Notamacropus eugenii: one gene and its partner. The protein of the gene in region 1 purifies or fractionates together with the protein of each later gene. This does not show direct contact. Links are inferred from orthologs where the notes say so. Each region holds a gene or a part of one and is shown on either strand. Other genes may lie near its edges.

Evidence for each region.
Region 2: the proteins of NRP1 (region 1) and FAM241A purify together in Homo sapiens (affinity purification with mass spectrometry; 3 studies listed by BioGRID and IntAct, with this or other methods). This does not show direct contact. The link is inferred for Notamacropus eugenii from reciprocal best matches to the Homo sapiens genes NRP1 and FAM241A.

The regions. Positions count from the first base shown.
Region 1 is NC_092874.1:73,279,001-73,290,455, reverse strand, and holds the start of NRP1 (neuropilin-1), read left to right. Parts: upstream 1-5,681; 5' UTR 5,682-5,760; intron 5,761-6,990; exon of another isoform or gene 6,991-7,181; intron 7,182-7,245; exon of another isoform or gene 7,246-7,418; intron 7,419-7,591; 5' UTR 7,592-8,133; coding exon 8,134-8,203; intron 8,204-11,455. UniProt on the Homo sapiens protein: Cell-surface receptor involved in the development of the cardiovascular system, in angiogenesis, in the formation of certain neuronal circuits and in organogenesis outside the nervous system. Mediates the chemorepulsant activity of semaphorins.
Region 2 is NC_092878.1:117,822,534-117,834,346, reverse strand, and holds the start of FAM241A (uncharacterized protein FAM241A), read left to right. Parts: upstream 1-6,568; 5' UTR 6,569-6,697; coding exon 6,698-6,946; intron 6,947-11,813.

The DNA of each region.
Region 1 (11,455 bases):
GTTATAGATTATGGGTAGGGGAACATTTGAGGTTGTCTAAAATTAAGCTATTAGGCATAGGACTTTAGACCAACAACAATAAGTTAGGGTCCTTTAATTCTTAGTAATACTGTGGAGACAATTAGGTCAAGAGCTTTTGAAGTTAGCAACATAAATATTATTTATGTCTCAGTTGGTTAATGTTTTTAAAAAAATTCTTTTGTGGTCCATATTGTAAATGCTTTAAAAAGAAGTATCGCCTGACCAAAAGTTGGAATTGCTTTATCTGTTATAAACTGTGTTAAAAATAAATAATAAAAAACTAAAGTAAAATAAAATATTTTTCTTGTTATTTAGTTGTGTCTGACTCTTCATGACCCCATCTGTGGTTTTCTTGGCAAAGATACTGCAGTGGTTTGCCATTTCCTTCTCCAGCTGATTTTACTGATGAGGAAACTGAGGCAAAGAGGGTTAAGGGACTTCACAGGGTCACACAACTAGTAAGCATCTGAGGCCAGATTTGAACTCAGGAAGATGATTCTGACTCTGGCCCTTTAAGATAATATATATTTGGGGACACTGAGGTAGCAGGAGAACCTGAGTTCAAATCTGGCTTTAGACACTTGACACTTACTAGCTATGTAACCCTGGGCAAGTCATTTAACCCTGATTGCTTTGCCAAAAAAAATTATATACACATATGTTTATGTAAATATGTGTATATAAATATATTTCTGTATGTGTGTATATATATACGTATACACGTGTATGTGTGTGTGTATAGTTTAATAGTCTGTTGCTCTAAAATCTCACGTCCTCAATGTCCATATTTCCTTTTGCCTAGTCAGGGGTAGGGAGCCTGAAGCCTTGAGGTCACATGTGGCCCTTTATGTCCTGAAGTGTGGCACTTTGACTGAATCCAGATTCCCCACCCCTGACCTAGTCTATACACAGAATTTTCATTGAAAAATTTCTGGTGGAAGATGAAGTAAGGCAATAGAGAGGGAGACCCACTCAGAACTTATTAGATATTTCTCTTGGCTGTCAACATTCGTGTTTTGAATTTTTGTTGGGGGTATTTAAAATCATTTGACAACTTTAAGAAACTGCCTGAAAAAGCTAGGAATCTGTTGTTATGTGTGAACTGACGCTATTCTAGTCTATAAACTTTCCAAGAAAGCCCTGTTCTTCTCCACTCCGCCACAGAATCCATTACTTGGCCTTCCAGCAGTTCCACTGAGATAAAGAATGGAGCTAAGGATGGATCATCAGTACTTCCTAGGTACCTAGCACGCACAAGACCCTGTTCAGATCTGAGGAGCACAGCTGGAAACTAAACTGAGGACAGGAATGAGACTGTGTTTACTAGGTCCAAGTAACTACAGCTCCATCTTTTCTCTGGATTATTTTAAGGTTTGTGTGCATGGTGGCAGGGTGATTTAGTGACTAGAGTGCCTGGCCTGGAGTCTGGAAGAACCAATTTCAAGCCCAACCTTAGACATTCCCTAGCTGTGTGACCCTAGGCAAGTCACTTAACCTAGGTCTGCTTCAGTTTCCTCAGCAGTAAAGCTGGGATAACAAGAGCACCTACCTCCCAGGGTTGTTTTGAGGATCAAATGAGAGAAGGTTTGTAAAGACTTTAGCACAGTGCCTGGCACATAATAGTTGGTTAATAAATGTGTATTTGTTCTTGCCTGCCTGCAATTCATTTGATTGTGTGAAAATCTGCCTTCAGTATAAAATGCCAAATCCAATTTAAATAGTGCCCAAGATCAGTGTTCTCCCTCCTCCCAGACTCTGGGTTCACAAAGACCCAAGGCCACTCCAGAGTTCTAACTACCTCCTCAAGAAGGTCATTTTTCCCCCTCTGGCTTTTGCTCCCTCCCTAGATGTCTCACTCATAAGAAATCTCCAGAATAAATTTTGGGCATGACTTACACTAAGTTTGTCCAAATATTAGTAACAAGGACCCCCACCTCCTCAGTGAGCACTAAACATACATATGCTTTCATTTCTCCCACTAGAGAAAATGCATAAGACACAAAGGACTCATGGGAGTGTATGAACAAGTACAGAAAAATCAATCACTCCAACAGTCTGTTAGGCTCTCACACATACATATACATATATACATACATATATACCCAGAAACATACATTTCTTTTTCAATACTTTCCATTCAGCTTACACCTGTATCATCTGAGCAACTCATGGCAATAGAGGGGTTGGTAAGGTCCAAATTGCTTGTCTGTCCCCACCCCACCACCTCACACTCCTAACTTAGGTCCTACTCATCTTGGAGGTAGCCAGAATCACTGGGAACTAATCAGAGGAATTCCCTGAGTCTTCTTCTAAAGGTACTAGATTGCATATCTTTCACTCTTGGAATCTCATCAATTTGGAGGAGAAAGGAGGAGAACTCATCAAATTGACCAGGGATCCCCTGGTCAACTCCTTTTATATAAGCAAAGGTTGATAATTTTCCCATAAGTGATAGCAACACCAAATCTAGCATTGCTTTGCTGGAATTATCAAGAAAATGGAAAATAATTTTCATGTTATTTTAAATTTCCAATAGCCAAAGTATTTTTTGTATTACAGGTATTTCCTGACTCACAGAGATAAACATCAACAGTCTTTCCCTTTTGGGGTCCCAACTCCTTCTGGAACATAATCAATTTTCTTCAAGTTTACAAAACTGTTCCCTTTTAGATTCAGATAAGGCAATCAGTGGCTTCCTCATCTACCTTGAAGGGAGGGTGAGTGGCATATGATGTTTCCCTGTTGCTGCCTGCCTTTAGATACCAACATTCATTCCGGATATGTTATGCAAAAGGAAAGGGGGAACTCTATGTTCCAGATCTCCCTGAGCTTTCTTCTCCTTACATAATTTGGAATATTTTTCAAAGAAAATGTGTTAATAAAGTGGCTATATTCCCAGGGTAGTTCACCCCCACACACACACACTCCCTAAACAAACCCTAAAATAATAGAATTCTATGATTCAGTTTCACTGTGGGTTAAACAGCCCTTTGCGGGTTTTTGAGAACCACCATGTTTTCCATGGGAAATTACTAGAGCCCTAAACAACTGACTTACAAAGAAACTTTTAGACCACAACAGTCTTGTAAATTAGAAACTACCTATATTGGTAAATTGTAAAGGAAACCATAAAAGGTAAAAGTGGCTGTGGCTTTGAGTCTGTTGGTTTTATATTTGAAAAATAGAATCAACTTTTAAATTCTCTATGAAGTCATAAAATACTTACTGTTTCAATATTTTTCTGAACTTATTTTAAAATTTATTTACTTTATAAGATTTCAGTTAAATCTTAGGGGAAAGTTACTTCTTTTGTATTTTGAGTATTCTTTGATGATGTTCTTAAATTTCTCTAATAATTTGAACATAACTTCTTTCTAAATTGTCATTCATATATTTTTTCACCTAATGATTTTTAAATTTAATTGCTTAATGATTTTCATATTGTCTAATATGATTTTAATTTCACTTAATTTCCTTTAATGATTTTTGTTTTAAAATTCACTCAGAGAAACTTCATAACTTAGACTCTAAATACATTAATACAGAACAATGAGATTAGATCCCTTGTCCTCAGGGAACCTTCTTATTGACTCAGACTAGGTGCAACATTTAAAGTTGGACATTGATACTATGTGACTTCTCATATATCCCCTTACTGAAAAGTCACTTGTATGGCACTGACTTAAAAATGCATATTGTTGGGTTTTTCTCCAATATTATGTTCCTTTTTCAAAGATCTGACTTGAGCTATCATGAAGGATTGTTTATTTTTTCCTTCCCCTGCTGCTATTTAAAATGGAGATGGATAGCTGTAAATAGGGTCCTGCATGCTTTCTTTGTAAATTACATTATTTATATGGTAGTGCCACTTAATATGATTGCCATTCTACCTAAAATGGAATAAATTTTAATTGCAGTTCACCTTTAATTATGTTTTTGGTGTTTAATTTTTTAAAGTTACCCATTCTTCTGAGTATTAATTGTATTCTGCGTTGAGTCTTTTCAATATTAAATGTGTCTGGGTGTTTACAGTCTTTCACTGAATTCTAAAATGTCGACTTGATTTTCCATATTGCTTCAACCCAAAATTATTTGATAAAGTTGAGTGGTCAAAATGGCCTTCTGGGGACAGTGGATCTAAACTAATTTCTGACAAATTGATAAGATGATGGAAGATATTGAGCTTTTACCACACAGTATTCATTAAAAAAAAAAAAAAGCCCACTGATTCCAGCTTGGCTCAGTGGGATCAAAGCCAGCTTCTGGGGCCTGAGTAGCTTCTGGGAGCGTCAATGAAACTGGATATTGCTGATTCAAGGACCAAGCCCTGGCTCAATGAAATGAAAATGCTAGTGGGTGAATGCTTAATTCAACGAAACTGGGTCTGACCAGGTCAGAATATTGGCTGGACTTAAGCTTGAATGAGGTGTTCATCAGCCCAAACTCAGGATCAGGTGAGACCTTAAAATAATGCTAACCTAGGGAAAACTGCTAAATACCTCAAGGGTCTCTCCCTTATTCTCTTATGGACGTCAATCTCTCCTCCCTCTACCCACTACTCCTGTGCTCCCCTCCCCACCTCTTTCTGAAGCTTGTAGAAATCTCTGATTGGTTTTTTACAGCAGTACTGGTGGTGTCAGAAAAGAGGTAATAAGCAAGTAGTTTTCTCTGGATCAGCCCCCATGCAGGCGTTCGGGGAAATCAAGGCGAGGCTGGAACAAAAACCAGCAGCCAGGCCGGCTAAAACTAGGCAAATTGTGGGAGGATTTAGGGGTTGGACATAGGGGGAATAATAGGACTCGGAAATCAGGATTTATTCATCTTGCAGAGCTAATTTTTTTTAAGGTGGTTGAAGAAAGAAGTTGGCAAATGCCCATAGCTGGTGAGAAGGAAAAGCGAACAGTTTACATTGAACAGTTCTGCCAGGGGGTCCTTGGGGGTAGGGTGGCATAGAAGGACATCTCAAATCTGATAGTTTGGGAGATGGATAACAGGAAGGCAGCACTCAGCAAGGAAAGAGAACTAGCACTTTTCTAAAAGCAGACAAAAAAAAAAAAACAGGAGAAAAATTATTCTTTGCGAGCCCCCTTGGCTTAGCCTTGAAAGCCTTGAAAGAGGAGGACTAGAGGGACGAACACAGGCTGAGCACACACGGAGCCGACTCCGGGATGTCCCCAGGACACTCCTACCGGTCCCACTGCCCAACTCTTTGTCAACCTGCCTGAACCCTCGGGTTGTTTTTCTACCTCTGCCTCTGAATGGGCGGTGGGAAGGGGGACGAGCAACCCCTCAGACCTTTGTGTTCCTGGCTGGCTCCATGTAGATTAGAAGCTGGATTGCAGTTACTAGGCTGGCTGGAGAGGGAAGGAGGAAGAGAGATGTTGAGACAAAAAGACAGGAAAGAACGCCAGCCCGGGATTCAGGGAGGGAGCCCTTCCCGCTCGTCGGTCAGATGGGCAAGGCTGCGTTATGCCTTGTTACAATACGCTACCGCACATCCCACCCTCGCCTGCTTAGCGCTGGCACCCTAGCCAGAGTCTAGCTTCCCTAGCAGCGCCTCCAGCGGCCTCCTTGAGGGAGGCGGGAGTAGGGGCGGATCTAAGGGCTGGAGACGGGCAAGGAGGCGTGCCAGGGGGCAGGGTTGGTCGGGGTCTCAGGTGAGGAGATTGGGTGAGAGGTACTCAGCAGGCGGCGCATGGGGAAAGGCTCCGGGGGAAGGGGAGACAGCAGGCAGTTTGGGTGAGTGCTTTGGGATGGGCTTGAGACTGACGCACCAGTCCATCCTCTAGCCCCGCAGGAGATAGACAAGCAGCGTGGAGACCCAGAACAGAGAGTACTTCTCTGGGCTCCACTATTTCGGGATTTGGAACCAACGCCCCTAACAGTGCTCTGGGAGGAGACGCGTGATTTCCCACTTGCTCTCTCTGCACTCCCTGGTTGTGTAGCCAGGATCCCGGGCTCCTTGTCTAGTCTCCTTTTCCAGTTCTCTGTAAATTGCCCTTGACAGATCTCTCTCTCTCTCGCGTGCCAAGTAGGAGTAAGTTCCGATTTCGGGGTGTGTCAATAAGCGCCAAACACTGGGGAAATGCCGTGACCTCACGGTTTCCAAAACATCCTGCTTCCGTGGCTATCCTCGGGGCAACTGTCTACCTAGAGTGCTTAATCCCTTGGTCTCCTCCTGTTTATTCCATGTGAAATGTTTTATCTGTTCTGGTGTACTGACGATCTTCAATAGCCGCTATCTGTGAAAGGAGCTAGGAAGAATCCTAGGGTGAGGGAACCAGGGACCAGTCAGTTGCTGGTCTGAACACCCCTCCCAAGAGGGACGAGAGTTGGGCGGGGGTGTGGGGGAGAGAGAAGCTAGAAGATCAGCCCCTACATGCTCCCTGCCTGTTGCTGGAAGGGTGCAGCGAAGCTCAGTAGAGGTGGACAAAGGTTCCTCCTCTCCTTCCCCTTGGGAATCTAGGGACACAGTAGGCTTGGTGCCTTTAAAATGGGAACCGAGGAGCACCTAGGCTCACAAGCAAAATGAACGGGTGGGGCTGGGCGACAGTTATATCTCGACTTGGATCCAGATCCCCTACTGTCCTTTCCCCTCCACCTTTGGGCTACAGGGCACCCGGGACTGGTGAACAATGGAGCGGGTGGGCAGCGCCCCGGGCACCGAGTTGTATAGCCTGAGTTACCCCCCCCCCCAAGCTGCTTGCTCAGACTCCCTGCCCTGGGTTGTCTCTTGAGGCAGATGGGCATCTTACGCTTAATCGATTTCACTTGGCTTTAAGTGGAACTGGCTGCCATCCCCCAGCCTGTCTGAAGGTGGGGAAGGCGCAGTCCACCTCTCCTCCAACCGACACTGGAGCTCCGGAGACCACTATGGGGGCTGGAGAGGTCAGGGAGGCAGGGGTGGGGGCTGGGACAGCTGCGCCTCTGCTGGCTTGGGTGCAGACAAACCCCTCTCCTCCTTCAGCAGTGGCAGCGGTGGCAACAGCAACAGCAGCAGCAGGCGACTTGTGAGTTGCAAGAACAAGCTGCCGCCTCCCGGGCGTTTGGCACTCCTGTCCTCCAGGATTTCGAGTCCCTCTCTCTGCGGCGGCTGCTGCTGCTACCCCAGGACTCCTCTCCCGGGTCCCTCCAACCCCGGAGCTAGCAGCATCCTACAGGCAGGTCACACGGAGGCCCTGCCTTGCTTTGCTAGCTGTGCCCTTCTTTTTCCACTGCCCAAGGAGAGACTGCCTACTAGTTGGCACCGAGACCCATTGCCCCTGGCGCCTTCCTTCCACACATACACCTCCTACGCTTAGAGAGCCCTAGCGGGGACTCAGAGACAGACGGACTGACGGAGAAAAACACTGAGGGAAACTTACTCTGCTGCCTGCCTCTTGTCAGGCGATTTACAGGCGAGCTTATCGGGGAAAGAGGGAGGGAGAAAGAGAGGAAAAGGGGAGAGGAGAGGAGGGGAGGGGAAGACGGAAGGAGAGAGGGAGGGGAAAAAGAGGCGGGTGTGCAGTTTGTGAAACTCCTCTCTGTCTCGGCTCATCATTTCAATTGCTTGCTTCTCTCCTTCCCGCAGACACCCACCGGACCTCCCCTGGGCGCGATCTCTTCAGTTTCAAGGGGGTCAAGAAAAAAAAGACACCGGATTTTTTTCCCCTCTTCTTTCCTTTTTGGAAATTGTCTTTAGGCTATCCGTGTCTCCCTTCTTCCTCCCTCCAACACCGAGACCTTCTCCACCCACCCGCACGTTGGGATTTTTTTTTTTTTTTTTTTTTTTTTTTTTTTTTTTTTTTTTTTGGAAATGGCCCGGGCAGCGGCTCTTGGAAGAGGAACAAGTGTGGGAAAAGAGAGAGGAAACCGGAGCTAAATGACAGGATGCAGGCGACTTGAGACACAAAAAGAGAAGCATTTCTCCCGGATCAAGGCAGTGTTCCGCTGCTGCTTGCTTTTCTCTAAGTCAGCCTGAAGGATTTTCAAGCTGCGGGAGGACTTGGGGCGGTCCAGGGAGTTTTTTCCCCCCCTTTCCCTTCTGCCCTCCCCCTTCTATTTGTCTCCTTCGTCCCCCTCCCCGAGTCTTTTTTTCTCTGCCTGAGGCTTTCCGCGTCCTGGCTGAGGAGAATGGATTGGGGGCTGCTCGTCCTGCACTGCGCCGCGCTCACGGTTGCCCTTACCAGCGCGGTTCGGAACGGTAAGTGACAGCAGCAGGCGGCGGGAGAGGAGCGTCTGACAGCCGCACGCACGCCGCTGGGCCCCGGGCTGGAGGGCGCAGGAACCCCGGGTGGGCGCTGCTCCGAGTGAGGACTCGCCTGCGCCTTCTAGCTGGGTGGGCACCTCGCCACAGCTGCTCGGGACGCGGGCACTCGCTAGCCTTCTCATGGCCTAAACGAAACTTTTTTGGAGGGGGGAGGAGAAGATGTTAAGCGTTTTACATCAAGAGGATTTCAGAACGTGTGTGTGTGTGTGTGTGTGTGTGTGTGTGTGTGTGTGTGTGTGTGTGTGTGTGTGTGTGTGTGTGTGTGTGTTTCCTCTCTGTTACAAAGCAAAATTGCCTACCTTACCAGATCAGCGCACCAATTATCGTAATAATGTTTCCTCCCAAAGGCAATTAGATGAGAATCCCTTTCAAAATTTTGATGGCTGCTGAAAGTTAATGAACGCTTTAAAGAGGAAACTTCCTAGGCTTCTTAGTATCCCAAATATCCAGCAGGCTCTGGTGTGTATCCGCAGGTATTGATGCGGGATGTGTGTTTTTCCGAGTGCTGCTAGTCATCTGTCCCCCAATCCTGTCATGAAAGTCTGGAGTTTGAATGAAAGTTCCAGTGTCAATAAAGGAATTTGATATCTACAGCGTAGGAGATGAGCTTATTTGAAAATCTCCACTGTTCAGTTTGATTTTAAAATCTCTTCGGGTTAAGTAAACGACAGAATATGTGGGCTATAAACAGGACCATGTAACATAAATAATATTTTAAAATGTAATCTGGCTCTGGGATTGTTTGCCTCCCACTTTAAAGTAGGTGAAGGCTGGGATGTGAAAATCTCTTTTCAGTTAAGCCTTCAGCAATTATTATTAACTAATTATCAAATATTTGCTTTTGCCTGACTTGGATTTCAATCAAAGTAATTAGAAGAAAAGAACATCCACTACTTATTGTGGTATATTGTTTTAATAAGAGACCACAAGTGGAGTGTTTTATACTGAGAGGAATTTAAATCAGGGTTTTATGATGGAAGTTAATCTCTCTAATATGTTTTCAGGAGGCTGTGTGATTTAAGCAATAGATTCCCCCCTCCGCAACCACCGTGTTCTCGCAAATATGCTAGGAAGGTAAAAATGTGTGAATGTTAATTTGTGACTTATTAATGAACTCCAGTTGGTGGTATCTTTCTGAACTCTCATAGCAAGGGTATGGGGGGGGGGGGGTAAGATAATCCCCTCTTCCATTTGAATGAGTTCAACTGACCAGTACTTGGAAATTAACAGCCTTCCCCCCCACCTCATTCATGGCAGACTTTGTATGTATGGTGAGAGAAGTGCACCAATAGGGGATTTGAAATCAAATGCAAAAGGTTGTAGAAAATTACATAGCAACTACGATGTCATATTTCTTCAAATGCTTAGCAGGAGTAATGGGGACTGGTAAAGAAACAGAGATGCAGCCACTCATTCAGTTAGAGTTTGAAAAAAAAAAAAGCTCCAGCAGCAGTGGAGTCACCAAGGCCACCCTCTTTAACTTATCAGAGCTTCTAAAGCCATGTCCACCTCCTCCCAAATGCCAGTGCCTGCTAAATTAATTCATTAACCTTATTTAGGACTAATGGTCCTGAGTCATTAGAAACTGCTCTTTCTTAATCAACTGTTAGAGAGATTTAACAGAGCCAGAGAGTCTAGCAGTCCAGTTATCTTATTATACTGTCACTTTCTCAGAAGTCATAGATTAAAGAGCATTGGTGGTACCGAGCCCACCTAATCGTCTTCTGAAGGGACTCTTGTCAAGTGACTAGGAGCAGAGCTGTTTTATTTCACTCTTTTAACAGATGCCAGATTCTGCCATGTTGTTTGCACAGAGCTGGAGGAGACTTAATGAGACGGGGTCACTTTCCAAGTTCTCTGCAAATTTAGAATAATGCAAGCCTCTCAGTAAAATCACATAACAGAGTCCAATATGATCATTAGCTGAGATGTTGAACTCCAGAGGCAACATCGCTTGGTCTTGGCAAGCACAAGGCTTTTAAAAGCCAAAAAAAAGAGGAGAAACCAACATAAGTCTACTCTAGTCCAAGAAACATGGTTAGAAACATCTAGTGGTTGAGAAAACAATAGAATTTGTATTGTCTTCTTTCTCTCTAATTTATGGGAAATGATTTCTGTAATGCATGTAGCTTTATGCATTTTTGATATGCATTTCATCTTTCATTTCCATTTGACCTGGTTTTCCTGTAATAAAATTCTGTACATTTATAAATTCATGCTGAGAGCAAAGAATGCCATTCTCTTTCCACAGGGAATCTATTAGATGCTATATTCAAATCTGTATATACCATTACTGAAAAGTTGTGATTGATAGGCTTATATATTTCACTGGAGTCATACCTGTTCTTCTTTCCATAGTTTATGTACAGATTTTTTTTTATTACTAAAAATTAAGCATCAGTAAATGTGGCAGCCTTTCAAACTGAAGCTCTCCAGTATGAAATCCATCATAAAAAAGTGACAATGAAAATCGACACTGAACAATAAAGCAGCCTCAGAGACTGGTTTATTTAGCTCTTGGCGATCAAACCAACATTTGGCTTTTGGAAATGATGAGTCTCAAAACCATTAAACCCACCTTTCCCAGGATGTTAGGCTGTGCCTTACCATATGGGGCACCTCTACTTCCTGACATTGACTGTCCAACAGTTAGGTAATTAGAAATAAAGCTGTGTGATTATTTATTTTTCTTTCTGCACCATTACTTTGATCTAGTCTCCAGGCATGAGCAACTTTACTCAGAGAAATAATGCAGAATTATTTCTGGTTCACTAAAAACACTTTGTTCTCTGCTCAGTCTGCGTTTCAAGAACAGGGATAGCTTGAAAGTACTGAGATTTATGAACTGATAAAACAAAAGAAGGCTTGGCTTCAAGCAAGGTCTATGAAGACGGTCCCCAATGACCAATGACACAGACCAGGCTTATCATCAAAAAGCCACACAGGGGGTCAAACTACATCTCCTAGTCACCTTCCACTTAGAACTTGTTACTTAATAAGATTACACTTCTTGGAGATAATTAAGTCTAGCAGAAGCCCCCTAGGGACCGTGTTAACATCAATTGAGGGGATTTAATGTTTTTAATGCTAGAAGATCTTTTTTCTTGGGAGAGAACTTTGAAAAAAATTCCCCTTTGGAGTACCAATGGTGTTTTCAAAGGAAGCTGTGCAAATGCTTGGGAGATC
Region 2 (11,813 bases), on another chromosome or scaffold:
GTTGTATCCTGAAGCTTAGTACAGCATTTTTTGTTCTTTTTTAACAAAGCAAGCACTTAATAAATGCTTTTTCCTTCATTTCACTTTCTAATGCATCTCCAGTCTCTTTTACTGGCTCCTTCTCATCTGCCTACACAGAAGATTAGGTCACCCCAATTCTAAAAGAAAGCCTTTCTGTGACCTTTATATACCCTCCAGCTACCCTATCTTGTTTCTCTTCTCCCTTTCACCATTAAACTTCTTAACAAAGTTGTTTACACCCAACATTTTCTCACCACCCACTCTGACCAATACCATGCAATCTGGCTTCTGTTCTTACCACTTTATTGAAATTGGTCCAATCCTAATGGTTAAATCCAACGGTCTTTTATTCATTCCTCATCCTCCTTGACCTCTCTTCAGCTTCTGACACTGTGGGCCCTATCTTATTAGATACTTTTTAATCTCCTGGCTCTTGAAACAGCATACTCTCCTTAAAACATCAATATGAATGTCCTCCAAGATTCTGTCATTGGTCCTTCTTTTCATGTCCCTCTACAACTTTCTTCCTTGACAGTCCCATTTACTCCAGTACTCTTACTACAATCTCGATGCATATGGCTGCCAAATCTATTTCAACCCCGACTTCTTTTTCCATCAGCACAGATGATTTAATATATGCAGAAGAAAAAATTATCTTTCCACCTGAACCTATTTCTTCTTTTGAATCCAGTCAATAAGCATTTATTACTCACTGACTCTATGATAGACACTAGGGATACAAAAGCAAACAACCAGTCCCTGCTCTCAAGAAACTCACAATCTAGTGGAAAAGACAAAAATATAAACAACGTTGTGCAAAGAAGATATATGCAGAATAATTGGAGATAATTAACAGGGCTAGGGAAAGATTTCTTGCATAAGGCAGAGTTTTAACTGGTACTTGAAGGAATCCAGAAAGACTAAGAGACAGAAATGAGGGGGGAGAGAATTCTAGGCATTAGGAAACAGCCAATAAAAATAGTCTTGAAAATACCTGGATAGACTTATATGAACTGATGCTGAGTGAAGTGAGCAGAACCAGGAGAACATTACACACAATAACAGCCAAAGTGTTCAAGAACTGTTTTTGATAGACTTAGTCCTCCACAGCAAGGCAAGGACTTAAAACATTTCCAAAGGACTCATGATGCAAAATGCCATCCACATCCATAGAAAGAACTATGGAGTCAGAACACAGAATGAAGCAGACTATTTTCTCTTTTGTTATGTTTGGTTTTGTTTAGTTTTACTCATGCTTTCTCCCATTCATTTTAATTCTTCTATGCAATATGCCTAATGTGAAAATATGAAGAATGTATGTGTAGAGCCCACATAAGATTGCATACCATCTTGGAGAGGGAAAGCTGGGGGATAAAATTTAAAACTTATGAAAGTGATTGTTGAAAATTGAAAACAAATAAATAAATTTTGGGAAAAAATTGTCTTGAGTTGGAAGATGCGTATCTTGTGTGTGAGACAAGAAATGGGGACAGTGTCACTAGATCACCGAGTACAGAGAGGGGAGTAAGGTATTAGAGGACTAGAAAAGTAAGAATGGGACAGGTTATGAATGGTTTAAACACCAAACAGAGGAAGTAATGGTGAACCACTGGAGTTTGTTGAATAATAAATGATGATGACACAGTCAAGACCAATTTAAGAACTGAGTGGAGTATAGACTTGGAGTTGGCAGAGACTTGAGGCAGGAAGACCAACCAGAAAGTTACAGCAATAGTCAAAACATGATGTGATGAGGGCCTGCACCAGGTTGGCAAGTGTCCGAGAAGAAAAGGTAGTTCACAAGGTGGAATCAACAAGACTCAGCAACAGATTGGATACAGAAAGTGGGAGAGAGTGACGAGTCAAGAAGGATACCTAGGTTTTAAGCCTGGGTGACTGAGGATAATGGTAGTGCTCTCATCAATAACAGGAAAATTAGGAAGAGTAGAAGGACTTGGTGGGGGAGGGAAGATAAAGAATTTGGAATTCACTGTTTCTGAGGATTATGCCACCATTTTACCCAATCTCTCATCTTCAGAACTTTGGTGTTTTCCCTGATCTGTCTGTCTTCTCCACATTTCCTATGAACTCCATTACTGAATACTGCAGATTCCACCTTTGCAATTACTTTTACATTGATTTTTCCCAACTCTGTTCCCACTGTCAGTATGTCATTGCTATCAGTCTAGATCATTGTTACAGCCTCCTTACTGCTCTTCCTGCTTTCGTTCTACTATCTCCCATGTAGCCTGAATACCAAATTCTTGAGATTTATCTTCCTCAGTCTCTTCTCTGCTCAAAAGATCTTCCAGGGCTTTTCATTTTCCACTGGATAAAGTTTGAATCTTTTACCTAGAATTCAAGATCTCTCCCCAAAATATGGTACCCCTCAACCTTTAAAACCTTATTGCCTATAACATTCTTCCCCAGATTCTATCTTCTAGCTCAGTGGTTTCTCAAAGTGAGGTTCAGTGACTCCTAGATGATGGGGTATGGGACCTGAAACCCCAAAATGCTACCCAGCTCCTGAACTTTCCCACACATCCCCTTCTAGATATTCAATAATCCTTCCAACTGTCCTTTCACTGTGGCCCCAACCCAAGCAGGCCTTCAGTATGTGTTACCTATGGACCACCCCACACTACTTCCCACTCCTTAATCTCATCTAGACCCCTCTCTGTCACCTCCAGTCCTTTCTAGGCTACTTTCTGCTCCTAGATCACATCCAGATCTTTCGCACAGTCTTTCTGTATAAAATATCAACCATATCCCCTACTAAATTGCTCAGATTCCTAAAATCTGGCCCACTTGTATTGGCATCACAAATAGCACAGACTCACTAGGAATCTCGCCCACCCCAACTGGTGTTTTAATAAACAACTTGGACTGAAAAGAAGCTTGCGTGGTCAAATTCTTTAGTGGCAGACTCATGCCCTTTTGCCGTTGCAGTTTGGGGTTCCCAAGACCAGTAGAATTGCAACATAGAGACCCCATGACCTTTCTGGGAGTCTAAGAAGTCAAAACCATTTTCTAAAAATACTAAAAAAAAAAAAAACACCTTTAATTCATAATACAAAAAGTATTGATAGATACAACTCACATAAACAAAAAATTTTGAAGAATATCCTGAATAATTTTCATGAATGTTAAAGGGGTCCTGAGACCAAAAAAATTGAGAACTGCTCTTCCAGTCAAATTAGACTCCTTTCTCAAAAAAACTGAGCTTTCTTTTCTTGGACCTTTCTCATTCTTTAGTTGTCCTCTTATTTTCTTGTCAAATTCCTATATATCTTTCAAAGCTTAATTCATATACTACTTCTCTCATGTGCCTGATCCCCCAAATTGCTAGTTTTCCCTCTCTTATATTTTACATAACATAAAACTCTGGAAGATGTTGAGAGGAGGACAGATAAGATAGTGAAACACATTTAGAGCATATTGCATAAGGAACTGGAGCTGTTAGCTCGAGAAAAGAAGTAGGGGGAGGGGGACAAGGGGGGAGGAAGCAAGGCCAAAATAATTTGGTGCAGTGACAGGAGAACTGAACTTGAACCACAACTTGAACATGAATCCTTGCTCTTCTATTTACTATCTATCGAAACCTGGACAAGTTGGACTAGATGACCTCGAAGGTCCGTTTCAGGTCTAGATTAGATACACACTCAAATCTTCAGGCAACTGAAGAACTGTCATTAGGCTTGTTCTTCTTAGAGCCAAAAGACAACACTGAAAGCAAAGAGTAGAAGTTTCACAGAGGCAAATTGAATTTTGTTTTCAAGAAAGAAAGAAAAAAAATCCTAGAAATTAAGAGTCAATTTTCCAAAACGGAATGGACTGGAAAATAGTGGGATCTGACTTAGTAGAGGTCTACAAGCAAAGGTTGAATGACCACTAGTGAAATATGTTATTGAGATGACTCTTGTTTAAATATTAAGCCTGGAAAACAAGGCCAGTATACTGTTTCTGGCGCTAAGAGATAAGGGTCTAGGAGGTTAGACTATAGTTTCTGAAGACAGAGAACAAGGAGGATGAGGACTGAAAAGGGAAGCACTGGATTTAGCTATTATTTGAAATTTATCTAAGGTATGTCACCTAATATCGTGAACAACAGTTTCTTGGGTTTGAGCTTCATCATACTATCAGATGGGTGCCATGCTTTGATCAAATTAAGTAGACACTCAGTAGATCATTGAAACAGAGATGGAAAAGACCTTAGCCACTTAGTCTAGCACCCGCTTTTTACAAATGAGGAAATTGAGGCCCATGGAGGGTAAGTGATCTGCCCAAGATTATCCAGATAATAGTAACTATTAGAACCAGTACTTTTTATATCATATTAGGAAATCTCCAATAAATGCTTATGGAAATGAAAGGGCATAGAAGATAAAGGAGATGAACTTTTCTTTAAAGTCTCAAGATCTAGGGTGAAAGTAAAGAAGTATCTTCTCTCTCTCTCTATATATATATATACATATATACAGACATACATATATATGTATATATGCATATATAATATGGATTATATGATATAGGCCTTATATGCTAATACAGTCTCAAAATTGTTATGGGTTGATAGAAAAAATAAGTCATTGGAAGAGGGATATATTGCTTAGTCATCCTTAAATGTACTCATGCCTCCTAAGTCTCCTGGTGTAGTTATTATACTTTTGCACAATTCTATTTTTTTCCAATTCTAAAAGCAAGTCAGATTTTATCACAAATATTAACAATGGCAAACAAATTTTCAGCAATGGAATGTACTGATATCAGAAGAAGAAAAAAAAGGAATTGGTCCCAAAGAAACCTTTTACTTCTATGGTGGCATTAAATTCTATGTATTTAATCTTGAATATCCTCCCTCATGCTTTAATGACTTTTGGAAAGGAAAGGAACCACCTTTCCTCCCTTTTGTTTGATGCTAGTCAATGACATATTTTCTAACCCCCTCCTTCCCGAAAGAAGGAGCAAGTCTTGTCTAAAAGTATATATTTGTCCACTGTGAAATTCTGTTGTTTTTAATAGCTCATAAGGCCAAGAGAATTTTGAATTTAATAATCTATCTAAGTAGCTCTATCTCCTAAACACTGGGCTCATCCTAAGAAAACACCTATTAAAGAATTTTAAAGCCTGAAGGAAAAACCTTTAAGATCAACTAGTCTAAACTTTGATCCTGGAGTCAGAGAATCAGGATTTATCTACATCTCTGATAGCTGTATGTCCTTGGGCAATCAATGTCCAGGGCATTTAAAGTTATTTTAATTTTCTCATCTATAAAACGAGAGGGTTGTATTAAATAATCTTTGAAGTCCATTCCACTTTAGATCTATGATCCTTTGGCCTTTCATTTTATTGATGAAGAAGCTCAGGGAGGTGAATTCACTTGCTGGAGGTCATACAGCTAGTTTTGTTGGCAGAATCAAGCCTGGATTCCAGGTCCTTTGATTCCATTCCAGAGCTGATTTTCTGACTGCATTCCAGTGAAGTTAAGTGTTAGTAAACAGAAAAGGGAAACAAGTCTTAGGTGAGGGGAGGAGGAAAGAAAGGAGGGGAAGTCCAGACAGAGTGGGAGATTCTGGAGGGGGAGAGAGAAAGAGAAGACATAGGGAAAATGAGGAGGCAAAGGATAGTGGAGGGGCAAAAGAGAAAAGGGAGAAAGACAGAAAGAGGGGAAGAGAAAAGAAATGGAAAAGGATCAGAGAAAAGGATAGGCAGAAAGAGACAGAAGCAGAGAAAGAGAGATAAGAGGAGAAAGGAAAGAAGATGGGGAAAGTCAGGGAAACGGGAGATACAGAGAGGGAGAGAGGAGGAGGAGAAACAGGTAGAAAGATGTAGGGAGAAAAAGAAATACGGAAAGAAAAAGGGGAGAGAGGAAAAGAAAGGGAAAGAGAAAGGGGCAAGAGAAGAAAGGTAAAGAGCAAAAAAAAAAGGGAAGAGAAAGAGGGAAAAGAGTAAAAGGAGGTTAAATCCGAGAGAAGAAAGGAGAAGAGGTGAATGAGATGAGCGAGGGAAATAAGAATTTGGAAGATAAAAAAAGTGAGAATAAAAATTAAGAGGGAAAGTAAAGATGGACAAAGACTAGGAAGGGGAGACTATATAAAGGGGAAAGGAAAAAAGAGGGGAGGGGGAAACAGGGAGGTCAAGAAAAGAGGAGAGAGACAGAAAGAGGGGATAGAGAGAGGAGTGGAAGGGAAGGAGGAGGAGAATGGGGGGAATAACAGTGGGGGGAAGAGAGAGAAAAGGGGGAAGGCAGAAAGGGAAGAAGCGCGGGGAGAGGAGGACAGGAGGAGCAGGGTGCCGCAGAGGTGGCGCGCACCTGAGCGGGGCTAGCCCCAGGCCCCGCCCCCAGCGCCCCCCTTTCCCCAGTCCCCCGAGGCCCCGCCCCTAGAGGCGGGGCAGCGGGGCTCGGGGGCGGGGCTCGCGAGTGCCCAAAGGGAGCGGGACAGAGCCTCTCACTTCTGCCCCTGGGGGCCGGCCAGCCGGGGCGGGGCTGGGCGGAGCGTCGATTCCGTAAGGCGCTCGGGGGCCCCGAGCCCAGCCGGCGGCGCCCTCCCGCCCAACGGCTTGTCAACAGTCGCGGGGGTCCGAGAGGGAAGCCTCGGAAGCGGGCGAGGCCGTGCGTGCGTCCCGGATCCCCTCCCAGCTGGGCGGCCGGACTTGGCCCCGGGGAGGGGGCGGGATGTGCTCCGCCGGGGAGCTGCTGCGCGGCGCGGGCGGCGACGGGGAGCCGGACGAGGACGGGGACGGAGCCGAGTGCGGGCTGGAGGGGCCGGGGCCGGCGCCCGCGGAGCCGGAGGAGCCGGAGGACGGCGGCCGGAGCCTGCTCGAGGGGCAGCAGCAGCAGCCGAGGCGGCGCGGGCGGCCCCGGCAGCAGCAGCAGCGGCAGCAGCGTGGTCCTGGAGGAGGCGGCCAGGAGCAGCCCGAGCAGGTGAGCGAACGGGCGAGCGGGGCCGGAGCCCCGGGGCTGCCCGCCGGCCGGTGCCAGTGCGTGCCCGGAGCCGGGGGACGGACCGGAGCGCAGCGCTGCTCCACCCCGGGCGCCGGGGAAGTTTCGCTCCTGACGGGCTCCGCGCCCCGGCTGCCCGGCCTCGGAGTCCGCGCTCGGCGCGGGTACGGGGGGCACGCTGCCCCCTCTGCCACTTCTCCAGGGGCCGCCCGGGGACTGCGTCATGTGGGCAGCCTGGGAGCATCTGGGTCAAGGTGTATGCGTGGACAGGACCGCGGAGGGGGTGCGGAGGGGGTGCGGCGTGCCTGCTCTCCGGCGTGCGCGAAGGGGAGCCGGGGCAGCCCCGCGGCTCTGGGCATCCCCGCAGTCCGAGGGTCCTCTCCTCGCGCTCGGATGCCTCCCCACCCCCAGCAAGGTGCAGCGAGGGGGAAAAGGGGAGTGTCTGCCCCCGAGTTCGAAGCCTGGCTCTGCCACTTCTGTGTTCATGGGCATGTCGCTGATGCCCTCTCTGAGCCTCCATTTCCTCATAGGGTAGGAAGAATATTCAGCCAAGTGATCTCAGAAGTCCTTTCCAACTCTCAGATTGTGTGGTTTTATATGAGCCGGTATACATACCATACACTCCTCTCCAACTCTGACATGGCCTGATTCTTTCTTTGTATACACACCATATAAGTATGGTGTGTGTATAGGTAAATATATGTGTGTATGTGTAACTTACGCCTAGATACACTCATACTATCCATACATGTGTGTATGCTATATGGTTCTGTGTATGTATACATATGTGTGTATACTACACAACATATATGTACCATATATAAGAATCATGTGTGTATATGTGAAGTGTATGTGTGTGTATAGAAACACACACACCATACATATCTGGTCTGTATACAAAGAATCCTACGTGTGTTTACAAAGAAATATGTATACATATGTATACTTTCTATGGTATATATACAAAGCATATACACACTTTATATACTATGCATATATGGTATGAATACAAAGAATCATATACATGCACAGACATATACTATGTAGCATTATATATATGCATGTATGTGTACGTATTGTATAGTATAGTTTGTCAGTAAGTATTTATTAAGCTGTTGAAGTGTGCTGATTGCTGTGTTAAGCTCTGGAGAAACAAAGAAAGGTAAAGACAGCCCCTGTTCTCAAGGAGTTCACATTCTAAAGCGTGCAGATAATTTGTTACACAAAATATATACCAAGTAAATTGAAGGTAAGCTCAGTGGGAAGGCACTAACATTATGGGAGAAAGGAAAGGCTTCTTGAAGAGAAGGTGAGATTTTAGCATAGACACAGAAACTATAAACAGTCAAAGGGATTTGAACTGGGTGACTTCCAAGGTCCTTTTCAGTTCTAAATCCATGCCTTTAAGAGTGAAATGACATTTTAAAGGCCCTGGGAAATATGTTTTCCTCTTAGGTCATTCTCATACTTACCCATATTCACATATACCCATACTTACCCTATTCTGGAGAGCACTAATGTGTTATATCTGGCCTAACTCCCTTCTCATTCAAGTTCTTTTTTCTTTTCTTTAGTCTCAAAACAGCTGTTTACTACCTTATACACCGCATATATGTGGATATGTATTTTGCTTTCTTTATATGTTCCATACTTCTCCCAGTATTTGGCATGTAATAGGTGCTTAATAAATGCTTATTTTCTGACTTATATGTGAGGACATAATCCAGTATTCTTTCTACTTTATTGCTCAGTCAGAAGATGTAGATGAGCATCCTGAATTTGCTCACTTGCGGTATAACCTTGCCCAAATCACTGAATTTCTTTGGGTCTGATTTTCCCCAGAGTAAAAAGAGAGAAGTGAGCCTGATGATCTCAAAAGTCCCTACCGATGCTGCCATTCTGTAATTCTGTATGTGATTGTATATACACTGTGTACATAGCATATAGGTACACAGATACAGTATTTTGTGTGTATGATCAGGAACTGAAACTACAAACAGATGCTTTTTGATGTCAAGCAAGTTATTTCTAATCTCTGAAAGCAAATAGAATCGCATGCTGATAAAGAAGAAAAAAGAGAAACTGGTTTATGTTAGTATCAAAGGTGGAAGGGAACTGAGATAAGGGAAAATGAGAAAGTAGGCAACTCCAAAATCCCTCCTAGGCTGCTCCAGTCTCTTAATATCCTCAGTATATAACCAAAGCAATGGAAACAGAATGAAGTGGTCAGTGGTCAAAGGGAATGGAGCAAAGTTTAAGGTGAATTTTGACTAGTAAATACAGTAATTTGTAGCATGAAAAATGACCTAGGTAAATCACTTACTAGTCACATTAGTTAGCAAGAATATATTTTATTGTATATTACATTTCTTTGATTTTTCTACATGTCATATGAGCTCTTTGTTTATTTTATCTTTCTTTTTATCCCTAGCACTTATCACATTGCCTGGCACACAGCAGCTACTAATTGCTTGGTCACTGACTGACTGACCTATAGTTTGGTGAACAGAATTGCTACGTCTCTTCCTTCTCACCTGCTCTGCTCTACCTTTCCTCAAACACAAACTCCATTTCTAAATTAGTGTGTGTGTGTGTGTGTATGTATGTATATATTCCAATCAAGATAAATTATTTTAGCATATGAAGCAAAAAAAAAAAGAATTTTTTTAAAAGCACCCAAAAAGATATACTTTAGCACTGAGTTCAACTTTGACAACCTTAATTTATCACTGCTGACTATGGGATGACTAAAACCAAGAACTGGTAACCAGGATGGTTCTAAGCCCCTTCCTGGAACCTTCTCTGAGTTGGTTGCACAGTGACTAAGTAACAAAAAACTTGACTTTCTTATACCGTAATCCCTGAAATGGAAAAATAAGCCTAGGAATCAGAAATCTAATTGAAATGAGTTTGGGTAGGGGGATTTGGGGAGGGGTAGTGTCTGAGAGGAATATTCAAGAGAGAAATTCCTAAATAAGTGATCAGATGGATCTAAAGTATTTGATCATAGCTAACATTTATACAGTGCTTTCAGGTTTACAGTAAAGCACGTGTCTTATATTATCTCATGGGACCCTCATAATTCTGTGAGACCAGTGCTGTTATTCTTATTCCAGTTTTACAGATAAAGAAACTGAGGCAGAAAGAGGTTAAGGGTCTTGCCCATTATCATGAGGTAATAAATATCCCAAGTGAAGGTCTTCATGACTGGTAGGCTAACTACCGCTCCACTTAGCTATCAATTCTTATGAGGTCAACTTGTTGCCCATATAGGTGAGTCTTCATTTGTGGCCCTTATGTCATGAAAAGTTATTTTTGACCAAAAAAAAAAAAAATGAACCAGAGAGCAAAGGAATATGCTTAGTAGCATTAGAGATTTTTTTATGTCACTATAAGGCATGTATATCTTTCCTTCTTTTTATAAATGCAAAGTTCAGTTTCAGATAGGCTTTTGAAATGGAAATAGATTATTCCATTTGGCGGCTGGAAGAAAGTGTTTAGCCAAGCCCACTGGCAATTTACAGTACTGTGTAGTTGAAAACTACACTGGAGTCATGATTGATTTACTCAGTCAATATTACAGCTATACCAGTGATATTGAATACTTCTTAGTCAAGGAGCCCAGAACATATTAAAATTCATTGCAATTAGAAACTGCATTCATTCAAAGGGGACAGAAGCAAATTCTAGAGGAAAAGCAACTCTTTTTATAAGCTGTTATGAACATAAAGACATTTCATTGTTATCTTATCATGAAAATGTAATTTATAATTTCACCTGTTGTCTGTAGAAGCAAAAAATTGTTACCAGGAGAGTTCTGAACCACCACCACCTTCCCTCCCTCTTTTTCTGGTAGCCTTCCAGGGACAGGCAAACAACAGGTACTTACTACTTGCTAGGTACTGTGTTGGACATTGGGGATACAAAATGCAAACAAAAAGAAAGCCAGCTTCTGCCCTCCCTCTAATGGGAGGACAGCACATAAAAAATTGTTGAAAAGGATGGAAGGAGGGGGTGGGGTGGAGTGGGAGCTTAAAGGACCAGAAGGTACCCATGGCAAGGTCATTGTGGCAAAGTCCAGAGAGTCAGAAGTGTAATTTGAAAGGGGATGAAGGATGGCAGCCCTGAGCCCTTAACAAAGGTTAGACTCCAGAAGTAACTCACCAATGGCATAAGGGATTTGAGCAGAGGCATAGTCCAGGGGGAGAAGGCAGCTGAGGGATGGTAGAAAACACAGGAGAGTCAAGTAGCAAAAGAGCTTGTATTCTTATCCCTTAATCCCCTGAAATGGAAATGAAGCAATGTTGGTGGGTATTCATATGAAATGACATAATTTTGGAAAGCAGTGAATAAATCACAAAAACAACTCAGAAAACTATTTAGTTTGTTTTTCTGTTTTTTCAAGTCCCAATTGGGTTCCATCAGTTATTGAGAATGAGCTGAATTGCATTTGAAAAGTATTTTTCATGTATCCCAAGCTGTTCCCTGACAGAAAAGCCCATCTTTTTTTTTTCTAAAACCAGTACTCTCCCTGTGAAGCCTTTTTGACTATAAAATATGGAACACTATCATGAAATCTCCAAAGAGTCAGAATTATGGGTGACCCAAAAGTCAACGAATGGTTAGAAGTAGGCTGCCATAGCAATATATTACCAGTGATGGCATCCATGCAAGAAGCATTATAAAGCAATTCAAGGGTATCAAATCAGTCCATAAGAAAAGGAAGTAGGCCATTCAGGAAATAACAAGAAGAGTCATCTTAGTGCTACCCTGGAATGTAGAAACACCTGGTAAAAGGTAAGCTGGCTAGGTAATTAAATCCTCATTGTTGATGAGCATTTTCAGTTGT